Arabidopsis thaliana: one gene and its partners. The protein of the gene in region 2 interacts with the protein of the main gene of each other region in a pairwise test. Each region holds a gene or a part of one and is shown on either strand. Other genes may lie near its edges.

What was found.
Region 1: the proteins of APE1 (region 2) and RUS3 interact in a protein complementation assay, tested with the Arabidopsis thaliana proteins (one large-scale study listed by BioGRID).
Region 3: the proteins of APE1 (region 2) and AT4G31330 interact in a protein complementation assay, tested with the Arabidopsis thaliana proteins (one large-scale study listed by BioGRID).
Region 4: the proteins of APE1 (region 2) and AT4G16444 interact in a protein complementation assay, tested with the Arabidopsis thaliana proteins (one large-scale study listed by BioGRID).

What each region holds. Positions count from the first base shown.
Region 1 is NC_003070.9:4,718,070-4,726,335, forward strand, and holds RUS3 (root UVB sensitive protein (Protein of unknown function, DUF647)), read left to right. Parts: upstream 1-3,504; 5' UTR 3,505-3,647; coding exon 3,648-3,769; exon of another isoform or gene 3,770-3,878; coding exon 3,879-3,936; intron 3,937-4,016; coding exon 4,017-4,076; intron 4,077-4,152; coding exon 4,153-4,191; intron 4,192-4,281; coding exon 4,282-4,344; intron 4,345-4,444; coding exon 4,445-4,501; intron 4,502-4,613; coding exon 4,614-4,677; intron 4,678-4,772; coding exon 4,773-4,856; intron 4,857-4,948; coding exon 4,949-5,031; intron 5,032-5,121; coding exon 5,122-5,251; intron 5,252-5,326; coding exon 5,327-5,419; intron 5,420-5,541; coding exon 5,542-5,680; intron 5,681-5,751; coding exon 5,752-5,795; coding exon of another isoform or gene 5,796-5,896; coding exon 5,897-6,084; intron 6,085-6,177; coding exon 6,178-6,276; 3' UTR 6,277-6,446; downstream 6,447-8,266. Other genes in the region: AT1G13750 (Purple acid phosphatases superfamily protein), read right to left, coding at 1-22; AT1G13755 (Defensin-like (DEFL) family protein), read right to left, coding at 692-993, 1,112-1,169; AT1G13760 (uncharacterized protein), read right to left, coding at 2,296-2,354, 2,894-3,032; AT1G13780 (F-box/RNI-like/FBD-like domains-containing protein), read left to right, coding at 6,612-6,623, 6,704-7,639, 7,728-7,868, 7,964-8,245.
Region 2 is NC_003076.8:15,468,429-15,478,525, reverse strand, and holds APE1 (acclimation of photosynthesis to environment), read left to right. Parts: upstream 1-2,940; 5' UTR 2,941-3,028; coding exon 3,029-3,307; intron 3,308-3,584; coding exon 3,585-3,631; intron 3,632-3,702; coding exon 3,703-3,805; intron 3,806-3,991; coding exon 3,992-4,078; intron 4,079-4,404; coding exon 4,405-4,488; intron 4,489-4,599; coding exon 4,600-4,653; intron 4,654-4,803; coding exon 4,804-4,884; intron 4,885-5,028; coding exon 5,029-5,070; coding exon of another isoform or gene 5,071-5,074; intron 5,075-5,161; coding exon 5,162-5,190; coding exon of another isoform or gene 5,191-5,241; exon of another isoform or gene 5,242-5,417; intron 5,418-5,710; exon of another isoform or gene 5,711-5,762; coding exon 5,763-5,952; intron 5,953-6,151; coding exon 6,152-6,252; intron 6,253-6,670; coding exon 6,671-6,768; intron 6,769-7,217; coding exon 7,218-7,318; 3' UTR 7,319-7,626; downstream 7,627-10,097. Other genes in the region: AT5G38680 (Galactose oxidase/kelch repeat superfamily protein), read right to left, coding at 306-1,202; AT5G38670 (Galactose oxidase/kelch repeat superfamily protein), read right to left, coding at 1,655-2,344, 2,555-2,740; AT5G38650 (Proteasome maturation factor UMP1), read left to right, coding at 5,827-5,952, 6,152-6,252, 6,671-6,768, 7,218-7,318; AT5G38640 (NagB/RpiA/CoA transferase-like superfamily protein), read left to right, coding at 7,852-8,338, 8,442-8,561, 8,714-9,075, 9,239-9,983, 10,077-10,097.
Region 3 is NC_003075.7:15,199,018-15,205,385, reverse strand, and holds AT4G31330 (transmembrane protein, putative (Protein of unknown function, DUF599)), read right to left. Parts: upstream 3,099-6,368; 5' UTR 3,033-3,098; coding exon 2,865-3,032; intron 2,787-2,864; coding exon 2,235-2,786; 3' UTR 1,824-2,234; downstream 1-1,823.
Region 4 is NC_003075.7:9,272,777-9,280,099, reverse strand, and holds AT4G16444 (tail-anchored protein insertion receptor WRB-like protein), read left to right. Parts: upstream 1-3,652; 5' UTR 3,653-3,841; intron 3,842-4,001; 5' UTR 4,002-4,043; coding exon 4,044-4,154; intron 4,155-4,229; coding exon 4,230-4,309; intron 4,310-4,432; coding exon 4,433-4,503; intron 4,504-4,794; coding exon 4,795-4,865; intron 4,866-4,949; coding exon 4,950-5,031; intron 5,032-5,114; coding exon 5,115-5,164; intron 5,165-5,237; coding exon 5,238-5,309; 3' UTR 5,310-5,662; downstream 5,663-7,323. Other genes in the region: AT4G16447 (uncharacterized protein), read right to left, coding at 894-1,271; AT4G16442 (Uncharacterized protein family (UPF0497)), read left to right, coding at 7,130-7,293.

The DNA of each region.
Region 1 (8,266 bases), on a different chromosome or scaffold from region 2:
TTGCAACTAACGATTCTCTCATGTCTTCTAAGACTGAAACAATTCGAGCGGGCACAAGAAAGATGCAAAAAGACTAGCAATTGGATTAAAAGAAACAGAGTGAGGACATTATAACTAACTTGGTTTTGCTTTGAATCTTTCGGAGAAACTCAAAGATTGAAACTTTGAAGAAGATTAGATTAATAAGAAGAGTCTTTAATAATTAGAATATCCAGTCTTGAGATTCCCCCTCAATGATATAAAAAAGTCAAGACTTTGCTCGTCAACGGCCAATTTACATTGCACTGGAGTAGAAGAATTCACATCAAGTTTTGATTAGCGGAATTTTAAATTGCTTAAATTTAGTGAACTCGAGATTTTTTAATGTCTGAATGAGAAAAAGATTACTCAAGAATTTAACATAAACAAGATTAATACATTGGATCCATATGACATTCATGTAAAAATCCTTCTTCTAAGGCGTGCTATACATGATCTCTAATCCAAAGTGTCAATGCTTTTGGGATATCATATGGGCCATCCAATGAGAGAAGAATAATAAGTCCTTTGTTGTTGTTAGGCCGTTTTGCATGAAATCCGAGTAAAGAGAGATAAATCAAGTCACTAAAAGTATAACGCCTGCGGTTATTGAAATATATTTATTTATTTTAAGCATTCATCATATATGCATGCATATACAAAGGAGTTTTCTTTAAGATGCCAATTTGCAATAGCCTTGCTTTGAACATTTCATGTTGCAATCAGTATCTACTTGGCAACGAACATCATTATTCATCACTTTAACCAAATTACAAACACAGTCGCATTGGTTGCTGCAATAACCTCCCTCTGGGCAATGCGCTTTACAATCACTATCATTCTTACAACATGGAGGTGGTGGTCCACGATAACCACCACTACCACCACCTGGACAACCGGTGCATCTTGGTTCATTCGGCATACATGAGTTTTGGTTGACAGAAGTTTCACTGTTTTGAATGCTAATTCCATTTTCTGCATATATTAATAAGAGATAAGAAACAAAAAAAAACATATTAATCAATGAAAAACTATGTAAATAAAAAATACTAAAAGCACAAAATGAAACTTTAAATATTTTTTGTTTACTTACGGGTTACGGCAAAAAGTAGAGAAACCAATAACAACAATTTTAAGGAAGCGATCTTCATTTTCAAAGTCGATGTTTTTTTCCTTCACTGGAGAAGTTTTTGGTTGTTTGGTAAATCTTGCAATGGTGAAGTTGAAGGTATTCTTCATCGATTTTTTTATTTTTATAGTCCAGTTTAGGCGATGGTTAGATACTATTTTTTTTAATATTTACACGTGGAAATTGAAGTATAATTGTTATTGGATTCTTTTGACTAACAACAAAGTTCTCATAAACATGGAAATCTAATTAAAGTTTTAATTAATACTAGATATGTTTACCAAATAAGAGTTGCAAAATTGGAAATAAAGGATTTTTTTCGATTTAAATGTCTATCTATATATTTCTTATCAGATTTAGTGGACTATGCTTTATATTAGATGATGATTGACCCACGCAAATTTTCTAAAATCATTAGTCCAAATGCTTATGTCTAAATAAGTATTGGATCAAAGAAAAATCAAAGATGATTTTATGCTTAAAAAAAAAACATAATTTAGTGACCAAAATACTATTGAATAGGAACAAAATCGAGATCTATCATTACATGTTGCTACAGGCACGGTGCCCTCTTTATAACTTTAAAACATTTTGAAAACAACAAAAGATTACACAGATTCAGAAACGAAATTAATTTGATCCATTATTTAAAACCTCTAAAACCTTGATCCATTTTAAGTAATAGACATCGACCCACTTAACCACTGAACCGTCTTATTGAGTAATTTAACCGGAAAATTTTACTGAACCAGAACCTTCCAATTGAAGAAGAGGCTTTAGTGAATCATCTTCGTCATCGATCATCAGATTCTTCAGATTCGCAAGTAAAAACTAAGAATCGACCAATCGTTTATTACACGAATACTTACTTATAAAGACAATATTAAATAAACCAGATATTTTTATTCCAATTAACCGTCCAAAATAAAAATAGATAGCCGTTTTATTTTAATTTCTCCCTATCCTACAAAGTGAAAGTCGCCAGTATCTCTTTGTACTCCCTCGCTATCTCGAAAGAGTCGTGGATGACTGCGTCGCTGCTTCTCCTGTACTCGAACTGAATGGTAGAGTGATCGACGACAATTAAGGTGACGAACCCAAAGTCCTTGTCGCCGAGCAGGCTCCAGCTGGACTGCATGCAAGAGAAATCATCTAGACTGGCTCCTCCACCTCCCGCAACAACATGAATAGTCCCGTTTAATGGCTCCTGCAAGGATGGTTGGATGGCGTGATCCCGAATACATACATACAGTTTTTCTCAAATAGTTGTGGCCAAAATCCAAATATGTACCATGTGTTTTCTCTGTTATGAACCTAGGTGATATTTGAGCACTAGCTACGATAATATTAGAACTAATTTGATAAGAAAATGGAATGTTTTTTTCTTAAATTTTTCTTAAGTTTTGCTTAAGTTTTGCTCAAGTTTTTCTTAAGTTAGAAAGAACTTTTGGGTTCGTCATTTCTTTTCTGAGAGGGAATTAAAAAGTCAAATTTGTTCTTGCTTTTTAGCTGCTGTTCAAATTCAGAATCTTGTCTTCTTCTCTCTCAATTTGTTCCATAGATCTAATCAGTTGAAATAATGAATCTGAATACTATATATATATATATATATATTCTAATATAATACAATGATGTTTGCATATACTTTTAAAAGACCCTGACAAGAAGAGAAACTAGTAACACATCAAACTTTAAAGAATTTGTAAAGAAATTTAAGACTCATTGCAGAGAAGAGAAGCACAAAACCTCGTAGTAAACCTTGATGAGGAAAAGACCTTGATAGGCGTAGAACACAGTAGAGGTGGATCGACATATTTAACTCTTGTAAGACAAATCGAAGCACTGTAGAAACAAAGAAAAAGGTGCAATGTAAAGCTTTTATCATATAAAATAACACAAAGCTTTACATCAAATCCGAGAACTGTTGGAGAAGCTTTGACATAAGCTTCTTCATTCACATCAAACAGTGTCCTATGAATTGCAACTCCTGACAAAGGTTGCTTTCGATGAGATTTTCCCTCTTGAATTGACACAAGAGTCACCAAAACATCAACAAGTTTCCCATTTCTCACAAGAAGATCATGAAAACAAATGTCTGAAGATGAAGATGAATGTGATACAACTGTGTTCTAGAGATAACTTGTAGGAAACAACATTTATAAAGTTGGTGACTGATGATCAAAACCTAGAAACATAGGCACAAAGCATATAAAGATATGGTGATCATTAGCATTAACATTCCTTTCACACACTTCCGTGACTTGTTGGTTTAAGTGTTTCTAAATCTAGAAATCCAATTGGGAGCCAAAAGAAGACTATGATGTGGACATGTGACCTGCGTTTGCCAAAAACGTACCTTTTACTAACCCAAAGTCCAATCACATTTGGGTCATTGGACTATTCAATTGCAATTGAAACCCAACACAAAGTCCAAAACACTCATAAAGTCTAAACATTTGAATAAGTGATTCTTTTCACTCGTAAGAAGCCAAAATTCGCCATGAGAGAAGAACAAGTCTCTGATTGCGGATCGATTACTCTTGAAGAATGGAATGGTTCTTCTTCCACTAAGCTATTCAAAACAGCAACCATCACTGCCTCCTCTTCTCTCTCTATCCAAAGGTTCTTCTTTATTCCTCTTTGAAATCAATCCAAATCTGATAGTTTCAGTGGATTCACAACAAAATTGAGAAACTTTCTTGGGTTTTCGTCTCCTGTGAGTGATTCATAGGTCTGCTAATCGCTTTAATCATGTGTGGAGACGAGTTCTTCAAGCATTTGTACCAGAGGCAAGTGTTTTCTCTCTTTTTCCCTTTAGAATCTGTCCTCCGGATTAGGGTTTGGCTGAATTGTACTTTGTCTAGTGCAGGGCTTTCCTGGCAGTGTAACTCCAGATTATGTAGGGTTTCAGTTATGGGACACATTACAGGTATGTGAGAATATGCTTGTATGCCTTATAGCTACTGTGAAATTTGAATTGTGACTCTCGGCTATGTTTGTTGCAGGGCCTCTCAACTTATACAAAGATGATGCTTTCCACTCAGGTGAGCTAAAGCTAAAGTTTTTGAGCTTCTGAGTTCTCTATTTTGGTCCAATTTGTCTGCTGCAGCATTTCTGATTTGGACTATTTTCAGGCTCTTTTGAGTGCAATTGGCGTTGGTGAGAAATCCGCAACTGTTATAGGTGCTACATTTCAGGTGAGTTTTTCCATTGCTTACATATAACATTTCACACTAGTTCTCTCAAGAACTATAAAGCGCAATGGAGAATAGTGATTCTATCTTGTGTATTATGCAGTGGTTTCTGAGGGATTTTACTGGGATGCTTGGAGGTATATTGTTCACATTTTATCAGGTGCCTATGTAGCAGATTCTTCCCAATCATAATACACATCGATTCTCTTCCCTTTTCTTTAAGATTTAGATTGGTTACGTTCTTATTTAATGGGAACTGTTCTGTTCTTCAGGGTTCCAACCTGGATAGCAATGCAAAAATGTGGCGCCTAGTTGCTGACCTTATGAATGATATTGGTATGTAAAAGTTAGTTGTCACATCACACTTGATACTAATTGCCTGTATTTGGTTCTCAGTTGAATGACTACAAGCTTTGTTGCTTTTATTGCAGGAATGCTAATGGACCTTCTTTCTCCTTTGTTTCCATCTGCCTTTATCGTTGTGGTTTGCTTAGGGAGCCTATCAAGATCATTTAGTGCGTATCATTTCTTGCATCAAACATTGAAGTTAAGACTTCGGTTTGGATTGATACATCGGTTTTTAACTTTTTTCAATCTTGGCTATTAGCTGGTGTTGCAAGTGGAGCAACCAGAGCAGCTCTAACACAGCACTTTGCTCTTCAAGACAATGCAGCGGATATATCTGCTAAGGTACTCTTTACTTCTTGTCACTGTGAATGATATAGAAACTATAAATGTGAACTTTGAGTAATTCTTTGCTTCTATTTTATCTATTGAAAGGAAGGAAGCCAAGAGACTATGGCAACTATGATGGGTATGTCATTGGGAATGTTGCTAGCTCGGTTTACCTCTGGAAACCCTATGGCTATTTGGCTTTCGTTTCTCTCTCTCACCGTGTTTCATATGTATGGTAAGTCACAAATGAAGGTTAAAGCATAGATCAAATCAGAATTTCTCTCACTGTTTGCCTTTCTTATATATTTAGCAAACTATAGAGCTGTCCGGTGTCTTGTATTGAATTCATTAAACTTTGAGAGGAGTTCAATTCTTCTAACACATTTCATTCAAACTGGCCAAGGTAATTTCGAAATGCGCCATTGATTCTTTCAAGTTTTCAGTGGCTTTCCTTTGTTTTTTATTGGTTTCTCTTTATTATTGCACCATATACCAATAACTTTCTTTAACTAAACGTGTTGCCAGTTCTCTCTCCCGAACAGGTTTCTTCAATGGAGGGTGTATTGCCCTTGTGGGCCACTTCATTGAGGTCAACGAATTCAAAGCCATTGCATAAGAGAGTGCAGTTAGGTGTGAGAGTTTCCTCTCTCCCTCGTCTAGATATGTAAGCTCTATACTAGATTATCATAATTTTCGGGTAAAGAATCGGCTCAAGCTTGACATATTTGTGTGCAGGTTGCAGCTGCTAAATGGTGTTGGAGCTTCTTCATACAAGAATGGTTTGATTGATTTATTTTTCCACAATCTTTCAAGGACATTAGTTTCTCTGTCCATACTTGACGTAAGCTCGGTTCTTGTCTGTTGTTGTACACTCCTGCAGCTAAGTATTTATTGGCTCACATAAAGGGAAATGTTAGTGTGATCTTGCACAAAGATTCAAAACCTGCAGATGTGTTGAAATCATATATTCATGCCATTGTTTTGGCAAACCTTATGGAAAAGAGCACATCTTTTTATTCAGAAGGAGAAGCTTGGATTGATAAACACTATGACGAATTGCTCCACAAGGTAAGATTAAATCACTAGGACCAGTTAAACCGTGTTTTTATGACACTAAAGCTACTGTTTTCACTCTTTTTCTTTCTGTTGTTTCCCATGTAGCTGAGATCAGGAGGTTGGAAAACAGAGCGTCTTCTTTCGCCTTCCATTACTTGGAGAGCTAATTGGATATCTCACACTTCCGCTGCTAAGTTCGACTGAGCTTTATCGCCTTTCAAGATCAAAATAGTTTGTTAACTCGTTGCAAACATACAAAAATATGTTAGTTCTAAGTCATGTAAAACATGTAACCGATACCGGTTTAACCGTAAAATGTCGGTTTAACATTGTATAACGTTTGTTATTAATGGAAAATTAAAGAATTATAATAATGGCAACCGTTTTATTTTTTTGGAAACGCAAAAATTGGAATCGGAACCGCTTCGAACGTATAAATACTTCAATTTTGTGATTCTCTTTCATTATCACTTCATGTTCATCGTTTAGCTCGTAGCTGAAGCTAATTCCACAACTCCGGCCAATAATTCCGCCGGCGAATGGAATCCACGGTGAGTATTTCGTTTATAGTCAGACACTTGTACCCTAGTTTTTGGAATTCGATTAATTTATTGTTTGTTAATGCTATTAGGTCATGCCTGGGTTTGATAGAATTAGCGAATTGCCGGAATCTTTGATTAGTCAAATACTGTTACACCTTCCGACTAAAGCTTCTGTGAAGACGAGTGTTTTATCGACTAGATGGAAGAATCTATGGCTTAATGTTCCCGGACTTGATTTGAACTGCCGTGATTTCCCCTTTCAGAACAACAACGAAAAACTGTTGATTGATTTCATTGACAGATTTCTCCAGTTTAACAATGAGTCACGTCTTCAAAAATTCAAGGTAGATTACAGTAGAGATAAGATCATTAAGTTCTCGGATCGGATTGGTGACGCGATTAGCCGCGGGATTCGAGTTTTAGATGTTGAGAGCAATACCTATTATCGAGATGCTGATGATTGCATTGACTATCCTTGTATCGAGTTCATGCCTCTGAATCTTTATTCGTGTAAGACATTGGTTTCTTTGAAGCTTTCGTATTCGGGTCTTGAGGATCCAGGGTTTGTCTATTTGCCTTGTCTCAAATTCATGCATCTTCGAGAAGTTCGATGGGATAGTAGTGGTACTATGAATCTGGAGAAGCTTGTTTCAGGTTGTCCTGTTCTTGAAGAACTGATTTATCTTCATGATGATAAATTGGTGGTTACGCGTGTGAGATCTCGAAGCTTGAAGAGGTTTTCTATTCCGTTTAGGCATAAACTTTCTTTGTTTAGGAGAGTGACACAGACATTTGAGATTGATGCTCCTGGACTAGAGTATATGAGTCTTAAAGCAGACCATTTCGATAGAATCGTGGTAAAGAACCTTACTTCTTTATTCATGATTGACCTTGATATCAAATTCATTGTCGGGTTTGGCTGGATGTTTGATCCGGAGGACTTACCAAAGAGAAATGAAATCCGTGATTTTCTCACCGGGATATCTAGTGTAAGACATATGGTCATCTCTCATAATACAGTGAAGGTATATATTTTTGTACAACAAATTTTGGTCTTTTTCTACTTGGGAAACTCTCACTAGCATCCATTTTTTCCTTTCCTTCTTGTTGCAGGCCCTTGATCTTTACTCAAAAGTAGGACTGATTCCCAAATTCAATAACTTATCCCGTGTAGAGGCTGCGTTCCCGAGCTCCTTGTTACAGTTTTTGCCAGCCTTTCTTGAGAGCTTCCCGAATCTGAAACACTTAATCTTGGTAAAAAAACTTAAATGATTTTGGCGTAACAACATTGTGGCTCTTGTGGATGTTTATAATTGAATACCTAGCTTTACTTTTGTTGGTGTTTTCAGGAAACTGAATGTCCAGTGGAGGTGATGGAGAAGTTTGAACTCGTAAATGTGCCTCGGTGTTTCGTATCGACTCTTGAACATGTTGAGATAAAAGGATTGTTTGACTGGGGGGAACAGGATATGAAAATAGCGAGTTACTTTCTCGAAAACTCAGCAGTCCTCAAGAAACTGATTCTGAGTTTCATGGGTTGTCCTCAACATTATTCGGAATCAGATATCTACGAGGAACTTAATAAACTCACAAAACGTTCTCCGAGATGTCAAATTATCATTAGATGCTGAATGAGGCCATGAGTATCATGT
Region 2 (10,097 bases):
TTAGAAGTGAAACAATAGAAAGAGTTATACATCATGGTTGCATGCATATACACCACACACATTCATCAAATGGTAGCAACAAGAACATTTTCGAAAACATATGTTAGAGGGACTGTAAGCACATGATCAAACCACTCAACTTTTCCCCAAATTTCACGTTTTTTGCGCCTTTCAAGCGTAATCACTGCACACCAGAGCATCTTATTAGACCCACTATAAGTCATATTCTCCTTCCACAAAACCGCCATCTTTCCACCAAAATTAGCTAATCTAGGACAAGCAAGAATAATAGGTAGTTGTTCTACCAAACCCTCCAACTTTCTCCACCGTCCTAGCTCAGTGTCATACCATCTGAAAACAGTGCCACGCCATGTTTTTTCGACAGAGTACAAAACGTTCTCTATCTCACAATAATCATATGAAGACTTATAACTACACATCTCTGATTCAACAAGGTCCCATATACCTTTCTTGGGATTGTAAGAAACCACCTTTCTCTTAGCCCCTACATACCACTTTTCGTCAATACATAAGCTTTTGGAGTAAATGTTGTGTTTTGTTTCGTTGTAAGGGATAGGTACATGATCCCAAACTTGTGTTTTTGTGTCGAACACCTCGAAAGTGTTCTTCAAGTTAAGAGAATCTCCATCTTTGCAACTTCCGGCTACATATATCTTTCCGTCAAGGACGCCAGCAGAAACTTCAACTAGCTCCACTGGCAAGCTTGGAGCCTCGCGCCACGTGTGAGACCGGCAATCAAAAATCGAGACACTAGAGTAAGGTGATATGGATCTGCCAATGTTGTAGATATTAGAACCAACCGCCACGAGACTGGAACGTTGCACAAGACGAGGATGTGGAATTGATACTGTAGCCAAAACATACCCACTTGACTTCTTCTTATTACTTGTTTCAGAAGATAGGGCTTGATCAGGTTTCAAGCAGAGAGTAAACCAGCTAGGGCTCTCAAAAGGATTTAAGTATAAGCATACATATAGACAACCCTCGGTGCGGTTCAAGAGTGACCGTTCCTTGTAAAGCTCCGGTGAAGCTAGGAGAGATCGAAAGCTCTTGGAGACAAAGGAGAGAATCGGATAATACAATCTTGAGACTCGTGCGATGCAGCTTATTATCAAAGCATCGGGAAGTGACGGATTTGAGTTCGATTCCGGCGCTGGCGAAAACTTTTCCGGGGACGACATTGGATGAGTTTAAGAGACGAAAATGGCTGTTGAACTTGGAGAAAACAAATTTAGGGTTGGACTTTATATATAGAGGGATTAAAACCGGTTAATGCCTTTGGTTAAGGGGAGAACCGGTTATTTGTTTTGTATGTTTTGTTTGGTTAAGCATTGAGTAGTGAGTTGTTGATAGCTTCATTTATGAACAACCAAAAAGGCTCTATTTGTATGCTAATAATGATCACTCGAAATCTCTAGGTATGAAACGATCCTTATAGTTGTGAGATGTGAGTTAGTTTTAAGAATTTATGTATGTATTCTATATTTCTTATTATGATATTGTATATTCAGTTTTTGTAATGTCGGATTTCTTTTATGGTAAAGAATTATGCTTATCAATCAATAAGTGACATAAATTAATTAGAAGTGAAACAAGGGACAAAATCATAGTTTCAAGGCTCGTAACGCATTCATCAAAGAGTAGCAGCAAGAACCTTGACGAATTCATATTGTCTAGGGACTGTAAGCACATGAGCAAACCATTCAACTTTTCCCCATATTTCCAAACTTCCGCGTCTTTCAAGCGCAATCTCCGCACACCAAATCATCTTCTTTCGGCGCCCAGGCAAATAGTCGTCCCACAAAACTGCCATCTTCCCACCATAATCAACCATTCTAAGACAAGCATCAATAGGGAACTTAGGTAATCCTACCATACCCTTCAAGTCTCTCCACTCTCTTTCCTCACTGTGATACCACCATACGGACGTTGAGATATCTCCTTTTACAATAGTGTACCAAACATTCCCTATATTGCGATAACAATCATATAAATACTTATTATGTTCTATGCTTGGTGTAACCAGGTCCCATCTACCTTCCTTGGAATTGTAAGCATCCACACCTTTGTAGCTCACCAGGTGCAATTTTCCGTCAAACCTTACGATTTTGTAGTGAAAGTCGTGTTTTGTCTCGCTGCAAGGGACAGACAAAGGATCCCAAGTTTGTGTATTTGTGTCAAACACTTGGAACGTCATGGAGTCGCCATCTTTGCATCTTCCTGATACATATATCTTTTCATCAAGAACGCAAGCAGTACATGACATTAGCTTCACCCGCAACCTAGGGCCCTCGTGCCACGTGTTAGACGTGCAATACAGAATCTAGACGCTAGAGGAAGGCAATTCATATCCGCCAATGTTGTAGATACTAGAACAAACCGACACAATGCTCGAAGAAGATGACTCAAGAGGAGTATGTGGAAATGGGACTGTAGCCAAAACATACCCACTTGACTTTAGGGTTCCAGTATGTTTACGGAAAAGAGTAAACCACCTCGGTTTCTCATCTTAAGGATTTAACTTTAAGCACACATAGAGACAACTCTCCGTGCGGTCCAAGAGTGATCGGGTCTTGTAAAGCTCCGGTGAAGCTATGAGAGATCGAAAGCTCTTGGAGACGAGGGAGAGAGCCGGATAATACAATCTTGAGACCCGTGCGACGCAGCTCAATATCAAATCATCGGGAAGTGACGGATTAGGGTTCGTTTGCGACTGCATCGTGTACCGCTTCTTCTCCAACTTTGCAGAGAACTTCAAGGATCGGTCTTTATAAAGAAATTTCCAAAACCGGCTCACGTCTTTGCTTAAGGAAAAACCGGTTCAACTTTCCATAGTCAATAGAATCCGAACCGCCAATTGATTTTGATTGTTGACCGGGTTTAGTAGACCGAATTTAGAATAGGTGAACCGTGGCCAGAATTTTGGCGGCCGATACACTTCTTTACCTCAGCCTCACATTACTACTCTCACAAAAGATACACAGAGAGAGAAGAGAAGAGGAAGAAAATGGGATCTATAACGGTAGCTCCGGGAACCACCGTCTTATTCTCCAGTCGGCGGCTAGATCTTTGCGGTCGTCGCCATGAGAATCTATCCGTCGTTTCGTCCTCACAACCGTCTCTGATGCCAAAGCAGAGATGGCTTTATATTCCCGAGACGAGGTTGAAAAGAGAGGTTTTAAAGCTCGATGTCGTCGGAAGAGCTGCTGATTCCACGAGCTCTTCTCCATCAGTAGCTTCCGGTGATAGAACCTTAATTCCTGATGATGAATTCACTTTAGCCAAGGTTTTAAATCCCTAATTAAAGAGTTTCTTCAAATTCATTGTGTTTATATAATTAACTATTCCTGAATCAGTCATTGCCTTGTCCAATTTTGTGAACTGTGTGAGATTTATGGTAAAAGTATAGTGTCTCTCCAAGTAGGTAGATTCGATTATTAGTGGTCTGAAATTGAGAATTAGGAAGGATTTGATGTATGCAACTCATAGTTTATAGGTGGTATTGAATGTGCGTTGGAATAATTTTGGACACTGAAATTTTTTCCATATGTTTTGCATTGCAGATTTCATTTGGTGTTATTGGGCTAGGTCTCGGGGTTTCGCTACTCTCGTGAGTTTTCTCTTGCCTTCTTTGTTGCTATGGGTATATGTGAGGTTTAGCATTATGGATCTGTTTAACAGGTATGGTTTTGGGGCCTATTTTACTATCCTTCCTGGAACTGAGTGGTCTGCTATAATGCTAACATATGGATTTCCCCTTTCTATTATCGGAATGGCTCTTAAGGTATGCTCTTTATGCTCTTTAGTTATCTTTCTCACTATCATGTCCTTGAGAAAGTGGAATGTTTCGGATAACTGTAAAATTACTGAGAAAATTGACTTTTGTATTAGAGTTACTCATTTCTTTCTTTGAGTTTTCGGAATGGTTAATTGTTTTAGTCCCTGAGGATGGGTTTTGCTTCCTTTGCAGTACGCAGAACTCAAACCAGTTCCTTGCTTGAGCTATTCGGATGCGGTGAAGCTTAGAGAAAGCTGTGCTACTCCTATTTTAACGCAGGTACGTAGTGGTTCTGGTTACTCTCGACTGACCGGAGTACCTTCAATCTGATTTTAGTTGTTCTTCAGCTCGTCTTTGTTACATTAATTTCCTAAAACATATTTATGTTTCTGATAAGAGGAAGGGGTGTTAGTAGTTTTCGTCATTAGTATTTCGAAATTCAATCTAAACACTAGCTTGATTTCAGTATCATAGGTTCTTTTGCAGAAAGTCTTGCTCAGTTTAGTTTCCCTATATGACATCACATCGTAGTTTTGTCAGTGCACATAGGATTTTAAATTTACTTCTCGTGAATTGTTAATGTGCCTTCTTCTTTCTTTTATTAGGTTAGAAATGATGTCACGAGATACCGTTATGGAGATGAACAACATTTGGAAGAAGCACTAAAACGAATCTTTCAATATGGGCTGGTAAGCTATTTTGTTGAAACAAAATGAAGCACGAAAACAAAATGAAGCACAACACACGCTTCTTGTACTTCCGCTTTAACCTCTCTTTCTTTCGACTGTTTTGGTCATAAGGGAGGAGGAATCCCGAGACGTAGTGCACCTATCTTACAGCTGATAAGGGAAGAGGTACATTTCTTCACGCGCATGACTTTACATCATATTATTTACATGAATCATCAAAATATATAACTCAATTTTTACTTGCATATGACATGGATATTGACTGGTGAAACTAAACTTAAACGGATCATTTTTGATAACTCATCATGTCTGTAGGTCCTGACCGATGGTCGGTACTGTGTGGTCCTTGTATTTGAGGCCAAAGCTCTGACGTTGTCAGATTTTGAAAAAAGACAGGTAAGAGTTAGATTCATATACTACTAACAAATCAGCTTGGCGCATAAGAAAATAGCTTAAGTAGCGTTGGTTTTATCAAATCTAGTTTTTAAGAAGTAGCAAAACATAAAGCTGGAACTAAGCATAAAAATTTTGTTTTGATAGGCGAAATTCACTTCCTTCTTTGGACCAAACATCACGGCAGAAGTCGGTAAGTAGTGAATCAATTCTCCATTCATGTTTATGAATTTCTTGTTCTCGGTTCTTAAAAAATTATTATTGTTGTTTTGCTTTGAAGGTAAAGGAGAAAGTGAGAATCTCTATGAAGTAAGACTGATTTCCAACCTCTCCACCAACTCTGTATCTTCTACCTCTTGAACATAGACAATCATGTATACGGCGACGTTTTCAGTCAATGTTATTTTGGTCTTGTAAATCAATTCTATATAATTATCCTATGTATAAAAAGTTCATACTATTTACAGAAATGGGAATTGGAACTAGCCTTGTCGAATGGTAATACGGTCGGAAGGGGACAAGCTACGATTGCAACGTGTTCTAGAGTAATTTTGATTTGAGTAAACAAAATACATATACTGTATATTATTCATATCTTGGTGAACAATACAAAATATATTAGTTTGTTTTAAATTACCAAACTAAAGCCTTAAAAAAAGTATCAAATTAAGCACATAAGTTAGAAAAGAAAAATGTGTTGTAAGAAAGAAAAAAGGTTAGGAAAGAAATATGCGACAGAAAAAAGAGTTTTATGGGCTTACAAATAAGAAAAGCCCAAATGGGCCTTGAGTTTGAGCTTTACATAAAATTCATTCTACTAAACTTAAGCAAAATCATTCCTTCTTCTTTCTCTGAAACTTTTGCCTTGCTTGCTTGCCCAGAAAGTCGCCGAGAAAGTTAAAAGTAGAACGGCGGAGGAAAAAAAAACGAAGAGGAAGAGGAGAGATGGAGTCGCAGAAGAAGATAGCTCATGAGATCGGAGGTATGAAGAACGATGCTCTTCGCTTTGGTCTTCACGGCGTTAAGAGCGATATCCTTAGATCTCATCCTCTCGAAACGGCTTACGAATCTGTAATCAATCACTTCACAATCTTTTTTTTTTTTTTTATTGATATTGAGGAATTAGAAAATTAGGCTAATTAAGGAACTTAGGGTGTTGATGAATAAGCTTCGTGTTGATTCAGAAATTTGAGAATTGGGATTTTTTGACGGGGTTTCTGAAATTAGTTTTTTTTTTTCCTTTCTATAAACTTGTTTATTGTGATTTCAGGGGAAGCAATCACAAGAAGAAATGAAGAGGAGAGTGATCACGCATACTTATGGAGCTGCTCTTCCTTTGAAGATGGATCTTGATAGACAAATCCTTTCTCGGTATGGATCTTTAAATCTGTAGCATATGAAATTCTGAATTACACTGATTATTAGGTATGAGAATGTATGAGAATCTTCCTTAGGCTTTATAGAATACTGTTAAGATTGAAATATGGTTTCCTAATGCTAGTAATCTATCTTGATTAGGTCAATTGCTGTTCTGAATTTTGAAATATTGTTAGTACAAATGTGTATATGAATCATCATAATGATTATATCGAAAATTCGGAATCATAATCGTGTAGTGCTACTTAGAATTAGATTTGCAGAACCATAAACGCGTAGTGGATACTCTTAAATTAGTAGCAATATGTAGATTGAATTCAGAACCATAAACGCATAGAGCAGCCTCTTCTTCATTGAATATTTATTGGTGAATTGAATATTTATTGTATATCTTTTTATGTGGAGTATTCAGGTTTCAGAGACCTCCTGGACCAATTCCTTCATCAATGCTTGGCCTTGAAGTCTACACAGGAGCTCTAGATAATTTTGGTTTTGAGGATTACTTGAATGGTAATTGTTTTACACCAGTTTTCCCATTTGGTTGTGCATTAGAGTTTTCTATTCCTACAATCTTTGAGCATTTCTCAAAACATGACCGTCACATACTGCTTGCATTGTGTAACCAAATCATCCTCATCCTTGCATAGAGTTTAACTCTTTGTTTAGCATATAATAGAAAAGTGTCTCAACTTGTTTATTTCGTTTCGCTTACTAGTCTCTACTTTGTAGATTGTTCCACTCCAAAACACCAATAGACAGTGACAAACCTTTGTTCCAGTTAGACTGTCACAAATCATCGAGCATTGCTCAAAAATTGACTGTCACATACTACTTACTTACATTGTGTAACCAAAGTTGAACTTTTGGTTCAGTATATAAGAGAAAAATGTTTAAACTTTTTAATTCTCTTAGTTTCACAATTTATATTGTTCTGACGATGAATGGTGTATAATCTACAGATCCTCGCGAATCCGAGACGCTGAAACCAGTAGACTTTCACCACGGGATGGAAGTTCGGCTTGGTCTCTCCAAAGGCCCAGCTTCCCCAAGTTTCATGTAGTCACCACCATCAAAGTATTTCCTTCGTCAGGTCTCATATGCTTTTTAATCTGAGTAAGATCATGTTATGAATTTCCACCAGCCCTAAAAGAATCTACTTGTTGTTTGATCTCTTCTCTATACTGTGTCTCCTTTGCTCTGAACATGATAAAACATATGAACTGTGTTTCAGTTCTTATCTCTCTCAGTTCACAATTTGTTGGACTTGCTTAGTTATTTAAATAAGATTATGCTCCTATTTCATTATTATGTTACTGACACCAAAACCTTGGATACTAGATTCTATTAGAATAAATAAATTGCATATGGATTAATACTCTAAACAAAACAAAAACAAAAGAACAAAGTAAGATTGTTTTAGTGACTCGGACTGGACTGTTAACATCGGATAAATCTGAAAAAGTAAATAAATAAAAATAAAAACCCTATTCTACGTTTTATTCGTCTGGGAAAACAAAAATTAAATTCGATCCCCAAAATTAATAATTCCGTCTTCACCGAGAAAAAATCCAGAGCTTCTTCTCCTCCGACGCGATGGAGTCTCGTCGGAACCCTCGCGCCGTAGTAGATCCAAAGGTCCGACAAGTCGGTTTCTTCACATCATCTCAACCCGATTCATCAACTCAACAACAACAACCCGACCCGATCGCTGCTACCTCTGCTTCTTCTTCTTCTTCCACCATTTCTCCTTCCGGTAACTCACTCTCCCCCGTCATGATTCCTCCTCCTCGTCTCAATTCCTCTGATACTTTCCCTCTTCGAGTCGCTGTCGCTGGTGCTGCTGCGTCAGCCGTGTCTCCTTCTTCGTTTTCTTACTCAAGTCGCCGTGATTTCCCTGATGGATCAACGACGGCGTCTCCTGGACGCCATTCCAGGGGTAGTTTCGTAAAATCATCTGTTCCTGTTGCTTCTTCGCTGCCTGGTATTGGGATGGATTCTATGGCTGCTGCTAAATCTAGTAGTGTTCCTGCTAGTGGTTTAACCACTGTCTCCGTCGTTACCATGCCTCCTGGACTTTCTGGTACTCTCACTTTTGATCTTGTGGAATCATAATTTGATTGATTTTGAAATTTGTTCTTTAGGATATATGAGGCTAATGTATTCACAATGTTATATAATTGCAGAGAAGGCTAGTGGAATGGAGGTGCAGAGTGACCAGAAGAAGCCATTGAAAGAGAAAACCACTAAAGCTGAGAGACGAGCTATTCAAGAAGCTCAAAGAGCTGCTAAAGCTGCTGCAAAAGGTGCATTTTTGATTTAAACCAATGTGTGGTTTTATCGCAATGAATGATTCGTCAGCTTAGTACAGAGATTTGATATGCTGGTTGCTCTGTTGTGTTATCGTTGTGTATTTTGCAATATCTTAATCAGTCTGTGTAATACTGTGCTATATCAGCTGATGGTGGGAAGGTGGCACCAGTGTCCTCAGCCTCGGTGGCTTCAACAAGTGTTAAAGCTGCTAAACCAGCGAAGGCTACATCTCAGAAGAATGATGTTGCTGTTGCTACTGGAGCAGCTGAGAAGAAGGGAGGTCCATCTGAAAAAGATAGAAAGAAAGATGCTCCTCATCCCCGCATGCAGTATGATGATGAGAGTAGAGTCGTGAAGGCTAAAAGACGTGCTGTTGTAAAACAGACCGAGGCTAAAAACAGGGTTGAGCTATTTAGGCATTTGCCTCAGTATGAGCATGGCACTCAACTTCCTGATCTCGAGACTAAGTTCTTCCAACTTGACCCTATGCATCCTGCTGTGTACAAGGTATTTGTTTTCTCTTGAATTTATCTGGTTGGTGCTTCTAATAAACTATTAATAATCTCTTTGTTAAAACAAGGAACCGTTTGTTCTAATGAGTGGTTTATATTGCTTCATTAAGATGAATGTTACTTGTATACTGAATGAGTATCAGTTGTTGTGGTATCAGGTTGGTCTTCAATATCTTTCTGGGGATATCTCTGGTGGCAATGCCAGGTGTATTGCGATGCTCCAAGCATTCCAAGAGGTTGTCAAAGATTATTCAACACCGCCTGAGAAGTCTCTTAACAGGGACATGACTGCGAAAATAAGTAGCTACGTCTCCTTCCTCATAGAATGCCGTCCGCTTTCGATTAGCATGGGAAACGCAATACGATTTGTGAAAAACAGGATTGCAAAGCTGCCTATAACACTTTCTGAATCTGAAGCAAAAGCTACTCTTCAGTCAGATATTGAACGGTTCATTAACGAGAAGATCATAGTGGCAGATACGGTGATAGTCAAACATGCTGTTACTAAAATAAGAGACGGTGATGTCCTTCTGACCTACGGATCTCCCACTGCTGTTGAGATGGTAATATTACATGCACATGAACTCAGGAAAAAGTTTCGAGTCTTGGTGGTGGATTCTCGTCCAAAGCTTGAAGGGCAGCTACTGCTTCGTAGATTGATCAAACGAGGCATTAACTGTACATACACTCATATAAATGCCATTTCATATATCATGCATGAAGTCACCAAAGTGTTTTTGGGCGCCTCGTCAGTTTTGTCTAACGGAACAGTTTATTCAAGGGTTGGGACTGCTTGTGTTGCAATGGTTGCAAATGCATTCCGTGTTCCTGTGCTTGTATGTTGCGAAGCCTACAAGTTCCATGAGAGGGTGCAATTGGATTCAATATGTTCCAATGAGCTTGGTATGCAATATCTTCTCTCGATATCAGTATCATCTTATACCGCCTTTGATTTTGTTTTACCTTACATTGGGTTTCTTGCTTCTTTACCTTTAGGTGATCCAAATGCTATTTCAG
Region 3 (6,368 bases), on a different chromosome or scaffold from region 2:
TTTTCACATTAATGACGTGGCGTAAATCCAATGGTTGATCCTTTTTGGGTAAAATATGACAACCAATTAACCAGTCGATATTATTATTATTGTCCTTTTTCGAAAGCAATTCAATCAGATCATCAAATTAATGACATTCATCTACTTGCCTGCTAACTAATCGTGGAGTACTAATTTTACTATATCCAGATTAAACCATTAGATATTCGATGCACCATTTAATTTCTCGTTAACTAAGCAACTTCTATTCTGAATTTTTCGATACTCGTTTTTTTAATTGCCTGAGAGCTAAGAATCTTTGTTTTTCTCTCCAAACAACACCGGCACGTTAACAATTTTATAAGTACGTATTATGTTATTACTATGCTTGATCCAACACAATTTGCCCTAATTTAAAAAGAATTTATGTAAAGGTTGGAATCACGATTCGCGATAGCTAAATCTATACGATTAATTGATTGGATCACAGAATCATGACAAATAAGTACCGCTGGATTATCAGAGATGTGTCTGGTCTATCGTTTGCTTTATGGCATTAACCAATTTATAATACTAGTTTTAACAAGACAAAAGTATAATTAATTAGCAACTACTCAATAATAATTATATGTACGTGGTACGTGGAGTTTGCCAACTCAAACCAGAAGCAATGACATTAACGTAATTCATCTTTTCATTAATTATAATCTCCGGTGTATAAAGCAAGGCCTAGTTGAAAATGCATATACTGATAATATTGAAAATGTATATTATTAATATACTCCAAAGTTCTCCAACGTTGCGGTCTCATCAAATCATCAGCCTCACAAATGTTTTGTTCTTCTCTAAGTTTCCCAAAAAAAAAAAAAAGGGGATGAAGTTCGATTATAGTCTATGATTCACAGGTGTTCAAAAAAAGGACAGAAAAAAGTCTCATTAAACCCAAAAAAAAAAAAGATTATAGTTTATGATTTCTTATAAGTTATATATTAGTAAAAAAGAATTACAGGTGAGTAAATGATCAAACACAAAACAGTCCAGTGATCTTCCAAACTTGATGTTGTATTTGAGTTTTGTTAAATCATTACAGAGATGTCTATCATCGTAATCCTTCGCTTTGAGCTCCTACTTCAATTCTTCAAAAGTGCAAATGCCTTCATCATCTCTTGACATTTATTTTTATAAAAAGGCTTGAAGAAAAAGAGAAAAATATCACATGCCTAACAGGCCACAGTTTATAATTTTATTAGATTTAGGCCCACTTAAGGACAGCCCATGGTACTTTTGCCAACAGTTTAATTGGCTATCTCTATGATATATCTCTGGCTATCTCGTTGTTAAATGGTCAGTAGCTATTATCCATGAAATTTGTGTATCAACGGATAGTCACGAGTAAGTTATTTAGCAACTGTCGTTTAGCTATTTAGCTACGTACGAAACTAAAGTTTTAACTACGAAAATTTTCATCACTAAAATTGTATTTGTTTGTAGCATGAAATAGCTTTTTGTTTACCTAATCTAAACCAAAATTGAAAATATATATATGAAAAATAGAGTTAGTTAACATACAATGATACAATTTTAATCTAGGCGAACATGGGCTTCAGAACTAGATTCGGATATAATTAGCTAACATCATAATCTGAATTGTCATCTCTAAACGAGTTCTAAACAGTTTGATTTCATACTACACAGAAAAATAACCGTGTAGGTATATTTCTACATTGTCTTAGGGAGGATTTAAATAGCCTCGTGACGACTGGTTCCTAACACATAACATAACAACAAAACTTAATAAGACAGATACTAATGCACGGAATAGATGTGAACATCACATTTTTTGTCCCGTTTCTTGCCCAACGTAAGCCACATGCATATAAACACTAACAGAAAAAGAAAAAGAAAAAAGAGAAACGTACATACCAAGAGAGCTGTGAGATATGCTGATACGTTATAAAGTCACCCACATGGAAATGCCAATAATAACGCTCAATAAACCAAAACGTGACATATATTACACCACACCAAATACATACGGCCGAAAAACCCTAATATATGAAAATTATAATGCGTTATTTAATTACATTTTTTTTTCTTAATCGGAAGATCTAGAATTGAAACCTAAACTATGATCTTCGAACTTTTCAACTTCCATGTAAAGTCCTCATGCGTTCATCGGTAGTCCAGGATTTAACAAAGAGGACGATGATATCACTTAATTACAAATCACTTGTTCTACTGACCAGAACTCGATTTTACACAGATCCAAAACTAGACTTTTGATCAAGTTTTCTTCTTTCTTTACCGAAGAAGAAGAAATCGAGGTTGTAAAGTAGAGGAACCATCACGACCGAGCACAAAAACACAAGCACCGGTCCAAATATCCAAAGCATCAACGGCAAAGCCGCGTAGAACAACCGATTCCCCACAGTATTCAAAATAAACCCTCTCTCTAGCAACTCCGCCACGTACTCCTCCGCGGTCATCATCATCTCGTCCTCCAACTCCTCAGGAGGAAAAGGAGTGTTGATGAGGATGTTAACTTGGTTGATGAAACGAATTGAGAGAGAGTGAGAGAAGAAGGAGAAGAGGAATATGGTGAGTATCGTGACGTACTTGAGAGCCACCATGAACTCTCCGCGAGCTCCAAAAACAGCGTCGTTTAGAGGCTTCTTCACTGCATATGTGCTGCTTAAAACCGCAGCTAGACCAGCGCAGAGGAGGATCGATGTTGTTGCCATCAAAGTCGACCCCATTATGCAGTTTCTAAGCGTTTGAACGGCCAAGATGTTCTTCTTGTCGTTGTCCTAATTTAATCAAATACATAAAATTAAAATCATATATTTATGTGTGTGAAGATGTTTATATAAGAAAATTGAAGTTACCTTGATGATGGAAGCGACCCAGAATCGGCGAGCTCTAGCGTTAGTGCCGATGATAGTGGTGAGAGGCTGTGTTCGTAACTTATGCCACAAGTAAACATGGTAAGATGCATACACCATTAGCCCTAGCGGCACCAATATCACATCTAAATAACATTCTCTCCATTCCATTTCTATCTTCTAAACTTATCCAAGTTCTATCTTCTTTTTATGAAGCCGTTTTCTATATGACTTCTTGGAAGGTTTAAAGACCCTATTTATAAGAAAAATTATAATGAAACACTAACCAAATAATTTAAAATAATTGTTTTTTTTTAATTTTATTTTTTGATAATGAATCGGATAAAAAAAATTTGTTTTTTTGAGAAATGACATAAAGGTGGATGGAGAGGGATGACGTGGCATATATTTGTCCTTTTGTTCGCCATTGTTATTTCCAAAGTGATCTCTCTCTCTTTTTTTCTTCTTCTTTGTCAACAAGTGATCTCTAGTTGGAGCCCATATCATAGTATATATAATTCTTGCACGCTTTTGATTTCTGTCTTCTACCATTTCTTTTGCTTTCTTCTTCTAGTCATATATATTTGCTTTTTTAAAAGGCCTATGTTAATCATGTATCATGTTTATGTAGCCGTCAAGTAAAAGTTTATGGTATTCCAACAAAATAGATGTTGTGTGATTATGTTTTAATAGATGGATGTTTACAACTTATGTAAAATTCGTGACATTTTTATTGAATAAACTGCACTAGATTTATTCATTTTTAGTTATTGATAGTGTAGTGTAATAGATAGCAATTAATTTAGAAGATTAGCTATTCGTACTACTAAAAGTCTAAAACTATCCCCTTTTTTGTATACTACATAACTTGAATAAAATCTCAACACTTAAACTTTATCATCCTCCTTCAGTAGACTTTTTTTTTTTAATCATTTTATCAGATAGCTAATCATTTTCATTTCATTTTCTAGTAAAGTATTCTTCTAATTCTAGCTATGAACATATCTATTATGAATTTATGATCTAGATATTCTTGAAAGGATATCAACATGATGTATGTATCTATGTATACATTAATAACATATGCATCACGTTGAAACGTATTCATGTGACATACAATAAAATTTCGAAACAAATAGTCGGGCTTCTTTCCTAATACCTGGTGAATCCGACAGATAAATGTTGATAGACAACACTAATATATCTTCTTCTTCTTTTTTTTTTTTTTTTTTTTTTTTTTTTTTTTTGTCAAAAACACTAATATATCTTACAAATTAAATGATATTATATATACTATGGAAATGGAGCAATAAAAAATCTGCCAATAAGTAACTAGTAGTACTGCATAATTTCTCGAGGATACAAAATGAGTGAAATCTGACGAGGACCATATACAGATATTGTGGGTGATTATCATATATGAGATAAGACACAGACATGAGATGAGGCTGACCTTTAACCATCGCCGATTAGTTTCATGCATCCCTCTCATCATGACTAAGTTTAATTGGTTTTGGGTGTTTCATTCACTATCGTCCTTCACGTTGGAATTCTAGCTGTTACTTCCACAATTCACACTAACTTATCTCTTTTTGGTGTTTTTAAATCTTTTAAATATTACAATTTTGTGTGGAGTAAGCGCTACAAAGAGACGGTAATTAATAACATTTATAGAGCCCCAGAATATAGGGTTTTGGATTTATCTCAAAGTATAACTTTTGTTTTCTATCTAAATCAGATGTATATAGCAAATCACCAATATCAGGTGAAAAATTTAATACCTAATAACTTTTTTTTGTTGTAATTAAGAGATTCTAAGCCAAAATTCGTACATTTCTTTAGATTCGGATAAGCTTTTAAAACCTTTACTCGGACTAATGGACTATGGTACTTTTCCAATCGAGCAATCCCATATTTCATAAATTCAAATATTCACTGTATCTGTATGTTCATTTTTTATATATGATATTCAGATATCTTGAATCCTATATCTTAGATATATTTTAAGACAAGCACATTTAGGTATTTAAGTACTTTCGATCGAATGTTTGGTTATTCTTATTCCGTTGCATCATTACATGCATGAATGACCGATCCTCTTGAAAAATTCTTCCACTTTCCAAACGCAGAAAAAATGAATGGGCATATTTATTTCATTTATGACAGCATTGCAATGAACATTCTATTAAAACGAATGACATTATTCATCTAATAAATTGCATTTTTTTACAAAAACTACCAGTTAATTCTTAAATGAATAACAAGAATTGTTCCGGTTTAAATGAAAAGGGGCCAGTTTGTTTAGTCATTTTGATGAATTGGTTTAACTTTGGTTCTGTTTTATCCATGCTTGTGGTTATACTTACATGATTCTAATTATCTTGAAAGTATTTTAGCTGTAGAAATGGACTGATTTTTTGAATCTGTCATTGCTATATTTGACGAATCAAAATGAGAATAAAGTAAAAATAGAGATGCAATAATTGTTTAAGAGTGTCAAGCTTAATTTTGTTGTGACGTTCTTGGACGGGAAGTGCGGCTTGGTTCCTAATTTGAGTCCTTTGTAATTCAAACTTGATAGTGCTCCTTCTTTATATCCTCATTAGTTAGAACTAAAGGAAACTTCAAAAGCTAGATCAATCATCGAGGAATATATATATTGGGTTCTTTAATAATTTCAAAATGTATTATTTATAGAGCACTATAGTTTCTTGAATAGGCAAGTTGGCTGCGTTCTTGTTATTATTTGGACGTAGTTTTTTCATATCAATGTTTGTGATTGTTTTCACTAAAACTGTTTCATCATATCCTGTCAAATTGTGTGACGTGAATTTTATGCATCACATAATGAACAAGAAAAACTATTATCATGACATATATACGATCGGTGACACAAACGATATAATATTTTTGAAGGATGTATAAAAAAGTGATAAACAATACTGGAATAGTTAAAAGCGGTAAGAAAAAATCGCAAATATAAACTTATTACTTAAAATTTTACCAAAAAAAAATAAATCTTATTATAGACAATTTCACATATGTGATATATACAAGTATATATATATATATATTTTTTTTTTATAAAGAGACACATATTTAGAACACAAGGGTTAATTATAGCACATGTCTATGATTAATCATATATAGTAGCATAAGATGTTTGTCTTTAATGCGTACGTGTCAGATTTATAGATATGTAGCATAAAATCGTGAATAAATAAATCTGAAGATTTGCTTACTAAGCTAAACTAAACGATGTGTCGTTGTATACCTTTTTTTAGATACTTGTCCCTCACTAGACAAATTCCTTTGCTGCCTCGTCCCATAAGCAATGTGCTCCTAAGTATCTTTATATACCAACGAAGTGATTGGATTATACATTCGGTTCATATCTATTCTGAGAGGACTAGAGTTTGTTTTTTAGAGTGTGCTTATCTTAAAGATCATCAAATACGCAAATACTATGCATTCCAGCAGGAAAAAAAAAACGAATTGACTCAAAAA
Region 4 (7,323 bases), on a different chromosome or scaffold from region 2:
CTATCTTCTTTCTTCTTCTTCCGATCAAAATCAATTTCTAGGTTATATTCATTTCAACAGAAGCTGAGATCCTCTCTTTCGTCTAGAGGCTTTTCTCTTTGACCCATAAACTTTCTTGGTTGGGCTTTCTCATAACAGACCCGAATGAGCCCATTTAAGTCAATCAAGCTCCAAACGATCGAAAATAGCAGATCTAACAACATGCACGATATAGTATTGAATAGTACTCGAGTTTTATTCTCTTAAAAATCTATCTATGATTGAGTGTCGACATTTTAGTTCTATCTTTCTCTATCTCAATTATTACTGACACATATATAAGAGTACTGAATCAAATACGATGCAAGTAGGTTTTGAACTTTGATTGACGATTTTTTGGCACGACTTGTATGATCAATTATTTACTATCTTTAAGAAAAATCGTCAAAAACAATAAGAAGCAAAGCTGCAAAAGCAGAGTTTTCAACATGCGCAAGCGGAGCCCAACTGAAATCAAATTTCAAGTCTGTCTTCTTAACCACTCCGACATCTTTAGTTATTTACCATGCCTTCGTTGGTGAAGTTGAGGTAGAAGTAGTTACGTATATATAAAAAGCTAAACATTACATGGATACGTATAAGCAAAGACTTGAGGAATGATATAGTAACCAATTAACCATCAACAAAAGAATAACCAATAAATCAATGAGTAGATCGATCTTTATCATCGTGATATAAAATATATCATAATCATTAACTTCGAAATAATTAATATATATGATTGCCATTTTAACCATACATATATCACCACCACCTAGAAGACTCTTTAGAAGAGCATACCGACGAAAACAAACTCTATATACATACATATTTAATTAGAACTTCAAAAAGATGGAGGAACAATTATTTTAGTTTTAGAGATGCAGAGACGTGTCAACATCGTCGTATCGATCAATCCCACCCATCTTCTTGTCATCTTTATTTGGCCACTGATGACAAAAGCTTGGCTTTTCAATGGATTCAGAGGTGGAGTGTGAGCATAAGGAGAGGGATAGGAGCTGCTGTGACGAAGATGTTTGAGAGTTTATAGGTAGAAACTGAAAGAAACCGAAACTAGTGGGTTCGCTGTAATATTGCAAGATGTTGTCTTGGTGGTTAGGTTTAGGGTTTAGGAGCTCTCGTTCAGCTCTTAACTCTCTTGCTCTCTGAAGTTGTCTGAATCTTTCTTGAAGCAAGACGATTGAAGAATGGATCACCATTTGTTCCTTTCGGTCTCTTGCTATTGAACTCATGACGTAATGATATGAGTCTTAGAGAGAGTCTTGCTAGGGTTTGGGGCCATGTTACGTGTGTTGAGCCTATTTATATAAGGAGGAAAAAGGTGTATATTATTTCTTATTATTTAATCTGCATGAGAATACTTTAAAAACAATAAAAGTATATAGGGTTGTTGAGTAGTTCGATGAAATTCCGAAAGGAAGAGAATCAGGAGTAAAGTGGTAAGAGAACAAGAGGAAGAAGGCAAAAGTGACAATCTAAGGATTGTAAAAAGAGAATGTATAATGTGTGAGTGGAAATTTGCATATTTTTATTTTTATTTTTAAGAAGCAAAAGAAAAAAAGTTGGCCAAAGTAGAAAATGGTTGGGAGGAAAATGACAAGAAGAATGTTTGAAGGGAAGCACATGGATTGGTTTGTTTGGATGATTATTGAGATATATAAACCCTTTTTTCATGCCCCCCACTTACCTCCCTTTAAGGGCTCTTTTTATTTGAAATGGAAACTTTATTACATCCCGAGAATATAGGGTGTATATAAATATATATAAGGGATGGTCTTCTTAAACGTTTGATTTGATTGTATGCATAACAGAGTTGTAATTCAATGATAAATTTTCAATATGTTAAATACAAAAATCTTGCAAGGACATGCCTAACCATAATATATAAAAGAGTAATCTAATCAAAGATCATATTCGTATGTTGTTATATTCAAGAAAACTTGCATGAGGTTTTAAATATTCCTTGGAAAAAAAGTGAATATGAGAAAAGGGAGTGACAAAAGGGTTTAGGAGAGATTTTGGTGGCTTGGGAGATGGTGAATTGGAGCCACTTCTTTGTCTCTACGTCAAATCTTCTCAGTGGAATTTAAAGTTATATTATTGGCATTCAATTAAAAATGAAACACACATTAAAGAAGAGTGTCAAAAGTTGTTAATGGTTTCTATAAATTAGTTGATCCACTTTTAAGTTTTAACTTCTTATGATTTGGCAAGGAGGAAAAAGTATATAAAAAGTGGGCCTATCTATTGATAAAAAGACAAATGGAGTTCAATAGACTAGGGAATAATGATATCAACATATATGTATGAGATGTGTTTTGATTGATAAATAATTGTGAAAAAGACCACTCATTTTTACACAAGACATTCTCTCTCGATCTCCTCGTTTTCTCTCGATCAAAATGCTACTCTACGCTCCCTTCCCATAATGAAAACATCCATGCATGTACATTATCATATTTTTACTAATTTAGGGATCGAAAAGATTAATTTATAAAAAAGTAGAATACTATATACGTATCAATTAATATATGTGTTCAATGCAAAGCCGATGCAAACTTATATATTTCCTATCGTGATAATCTTATATAATAGATATTAGTTGTGTTTGATATATATAATAATTGCAGTACATATAATTCTTAACACCCATATAATGTAAAATTTTCTGATACAATTCTAAACCACATGTGTGCATTTTGAGTTTCACTTCATAGTCGGATTCTGCAAACTCCCCACATTAATTGGTCCACAAGGTACAAAACTTATCTCACATATATTCACCAATATATACAAATGTCAAATGCCTTTATAATGTATCACTCTTGATTGTTGATATTAGATAAGAATGTTGATATCATTACAAATGAAATGATATATTAGATTAAATTGGTAAATTTATTGTTACACCTCTAACAACGAAAAAAAGTGAGACAGTATAGCTACAAAACGGAGCGGGTTGAAAGAAAGAGGAAGTGGACAATGGGGATACAAAGTTTGAAAGGCACATCAAAAGTGGTGGGAGCAAAAGTTTGTCGTCAAGTAATTGGAATATAATGGCATGCATACACGAAAGCTGAAGATGCTACGACGTTTAGGATTTGGACTTACATTGTTTTTCTTCCTTTTTTCAGCTTCGGTATCTGCGATGTTATCGATAATGCTCTGATTTGGTGATAACCCCAATTAGATAGATGATTAACATAATTAAGTGGGATCGGATGAGACAAAACATATAGTGTCTTTAGATTAGTTGAGAAAGATTAGAGACAACGCGTGCCATTTCTGGTAAAACCATTACAACCACTCCACGTAAAAAGAATACATTATGTTTGTTAAATTTTCACATTTCTAATTTCTTACCCTCCATTTTGTAGTTTTACTACATCTCTACTATTTATATCTATTTTTATCCTATTCATTCTAAATTTGGATACTTTTACTGTTGACTGAAACTTGTAGCCTAGTTGTTGTTTCTTTTCACATGTACTCATGTATACCCAAGCTTAATGAAATTTTAAAGAAAATAAACAAGCGGTTTAGTTTTAATTTAATGGGCCGTTTCTTTATTTCAACGAAGCCCAATAGAGCCTGTTGAAAAAGGGTTTAGTTATTGTTGTTTACACATAAGGGCTTGAGTTTTATTTATTTCACGAAACGAGTAGAAACTTTTGTTTTATCAAAATCAGAACCCTCCTCTTTTACAGATTCAGGCCAATTCTAAATTCCCATCGTTCGTTCAATTTCAGACGTTAACCTCGGCTTGAAGGCTTCAAATTTCTGTGAATCCACGACGGAGATTGTAAGTTCCGATCATACTCACGACGATCTCATTCTATATGCACTAGAATCTTTTCCTCCTCCATTGATTAGATGATATGTTTATCCAGAACATGATGGATTCAATTAAGGCTTTTATTTTGTTGATCTGAATGGTACTGAGTTATGAATTGTTCGAGCAGATTGGTGAATTACGTTAGAATCAGTAATCAGCAAAAGGGTTAATGGAAGGAGAGAAGCTTATAGAAGATCGCGGCTTTTTGGCTGCTCCTCTGACCTTCGTCGTCGTCGTTGTCTTCCAATTGCTATCCAAGTGGCTTGACCAATTGAAGAAGGTAAAAAAGATAATACTTTTTGGCTTTTTTTCATATCCACATGAATCATCGTTTTGAATTATGGAATTTCTTCAGAAAGGGTCGAAGAACACGAGGGAATCAGAGCTGCGAACCGAAATTAAGCAGCTTTTGAGAGAGGCTAGTGCATTGTCTCAGTAAGCCATTTTGTTGTCACATTTTGTTTTGGTTCTAGTGATTTGAGTTAAGGAAGGTGCAGTTGTTGAAAAATATATATATGAGTGTTGTTGATTAGAGATTTATCTATTGTTTACTTGCAGGCCAGCCACATTTGCGCAAGCAGCGAAACTTAGGAGGTCAGCAGCTACTAAAGAGAAAGAACTTGCACAATGTGAGTATGCATACATTATTAGTTCTACATTGATTGCTTAGTGAGCGTAGAGTTCATGAAATTCAGAAATATGATTGATTGCTTAGTGAGTGTAGAGATCATGAAATTCAGAAATATGATTGATTGCTTTGTGAGTGTAGAGTTCATGAAATTCAGAAATATGATGCAACAGTTAGTTAGCTTTAAACATGAATACTATCTGGTAGCAGATATTCCTACTAAAGCACTGCATCATCATGGTGTAGTATTGGTGTGTGTGTGTATTTGTTAATTCTCATTTTGAAATTTTAGATCTGGAGCAGCATCACAAAGAAATCAAGCTTTCATACGATATGTATGGGAAGGGTCTGCTTGCTTCGAAGGTAGCTTAGTTTGTGTGCTCAAGCTTCTTCTTTTTTTCCGTCTAAAACTCCTTAATCGAGATGTGCTAAGAACTTTGTTTCTAGGTTGTGATATACCTAATCTTGGTATTGTGCTTCTGGAGGACTCCAATTGCCATTATCGCTAAGCAACTTGTTCAACCGTTTGGTGAGTAGTTTACTTTTACCAGGTTAAAGCTCGCTTATGGTATATAACACATAGGAAAAAAATGAATGTGGTGTGTTTCACAGGGACTTTGTTATCTTGGGGAACAGGAGGTCACATGACAGGCCATGTAATGGTAAGTTCCTTCTTCTCAATCCATTTATTTGGGCTTGTTCTTGATTGAGAGTGTTGGTTGGGTAAAAATGCAGGTCGGGATCATACCGTGGCTCATACTCTCAAACAGAGTGAGCAAATATGTGTGTAGGTTCGTGGAGTTCTAAATCGCATCCCTGAAAAGAGTGAAGATTGGATGGTTTTTGAGTTCAAAGTTGTAGCCTTTTAGGAGACACTTGTGGCAGAAATTGTGCTTCTCTTTTTGTTCCTAATCTTCCTTAACAATGTATATTTATATGACTCTTTTTCTCTGGTTGTTTGTTGGATTTTACCAATAACAAGTAGTTCGTTTTTGAGAGTTGAGCAGGTTGTTACCGTAGAAGCAGCCCCAATATTTACCCAATGTGTATATATACACCATAACAAACACATTGTCTCTATTCCTCTACGTGTTGTCAATTTTTATCTTGTAACACCGACTTTGTAAAATCAGATTCTAAAGACGCGTGTACTTATTCAACACGATGCCAATGCATGTGGTTCATTAAGATGTAGCATTATATCACCGAAAATGGAAGAGAGAAATAAAAATACTTACTATTATTAAAAGTGGGTAGCTTGGTGAAGGCACTAAAGTTTAATGGGAGAATCTTTTTAGCAATTAATTCGAGGGCATTATAATATCCACTTCCAACCACCACATTACTTAATTAAGGAAAACAATTTAAATCATAGTATCTTGTTTGGTTTGAAAGGAACGTGCACGTGTCACATCATCTACACTTGTCTTTCTAAATCAAAGAACTTGATTGGATTTGGTTAAGCCTATTAGTAAGAGTTAATAAGACAGAACCAAAGAAAAGGGTTTGGTTAGAGGGGCTAATTGGGAGATGGGAAGTGCAATAAATAAGAAGAAGGTTCATTAAATAGTTGTGTATGTGGGCATCCAAAGTCCCATCTTAATAATTTAATAATCTCCTCGGGATAGATAACAATCTTCTCTTCTTCTTCTTCTTCTTCTCTCCATTTTCCTAGAACATTAAAAGACAAATATGGAGCATTGTAATTTAATTAATCCTAAAGGTCATTGTGATATCTCACTTTCGTCTTTAAGGGAGGGGGGATGTTAGAAAAATGTTGTGTTTTGGGTTTGTGATCAGAACCCATGCACATTTCAATTCAATGCATCTCATAATAATATACGTAGTAACGTCTACAAGAACTTTTCTACCACTTGGCAGATTTAGGGACTATGTTTCTGTGTCTCTCTATCACCCCTAATTCAATAGCATATTAAAAGTTTACTCTAAAACAAGAAGTCACGACAAAATGAGATCATTGTGAAGATATAATTGGTTTACTATAAATTTCATGTAAGAAATAAGTATCCGTATTTGTAGGATATCTAAATTATGTGATCCGTTTTACACTTTTACTTAAGAGAAAGTTGAATTCCTAGAAAAGTTTCAAATATCCAATTTTCTCCTCTAAAAGACTAAAAACGAAAAAAACCATAAGTTTTTAAGAAACGAAAAAAAAAAAGTATTTTCATTATGAACTATTCAGTGAATTCATCTATTGTTTTTTCCTTCAAATAGTAAAAAGTGAAAAATGAAGACGGTGGTAATAATAGTAAAAATGATAACAATAACTAATAACACTTCACTTCATATGTTGGTCTTTTAGTAACTAGTTGAATCTAGAAACTAATTTGTCCAGCCTTAATTTACACAAAACTAGTAGCAAACTTATTCGTTAACACAGTTTCAATTTTGGTGATATTTTTCAATAAAAGCCTAAGGACCCAAGCGATGTGAAGTAAAAGCATGGAACTCTCTATTTAAAGCCTTAAGCCGAGTGTGGACACTATTTCTCTTTAGTCTCTCTACGGAACCTGTCTTCTTGTCTTGTCCAAAATCGGATTTTTAAGAGTACAAGTGAGTTTATTTTGGGGGCCGAAATCTGTCCTGGAGGATACAGAAGCAAGATGAAGTTAATAGATCGAAGAATGAGGTTAACGGAGCTGCTCTTACGGTGCTCCATCAGTGTCTTCGCTCTCCTCGCGCTTATTCTAGTTGTGACAGACACTGAGGTCAAGCTTATCTTCACTATCAAGAAGACGGCCAAGTACACGGACATGAAGGCGGTTGTGTAAGCTTATCATAAACCCATTTCGGATTT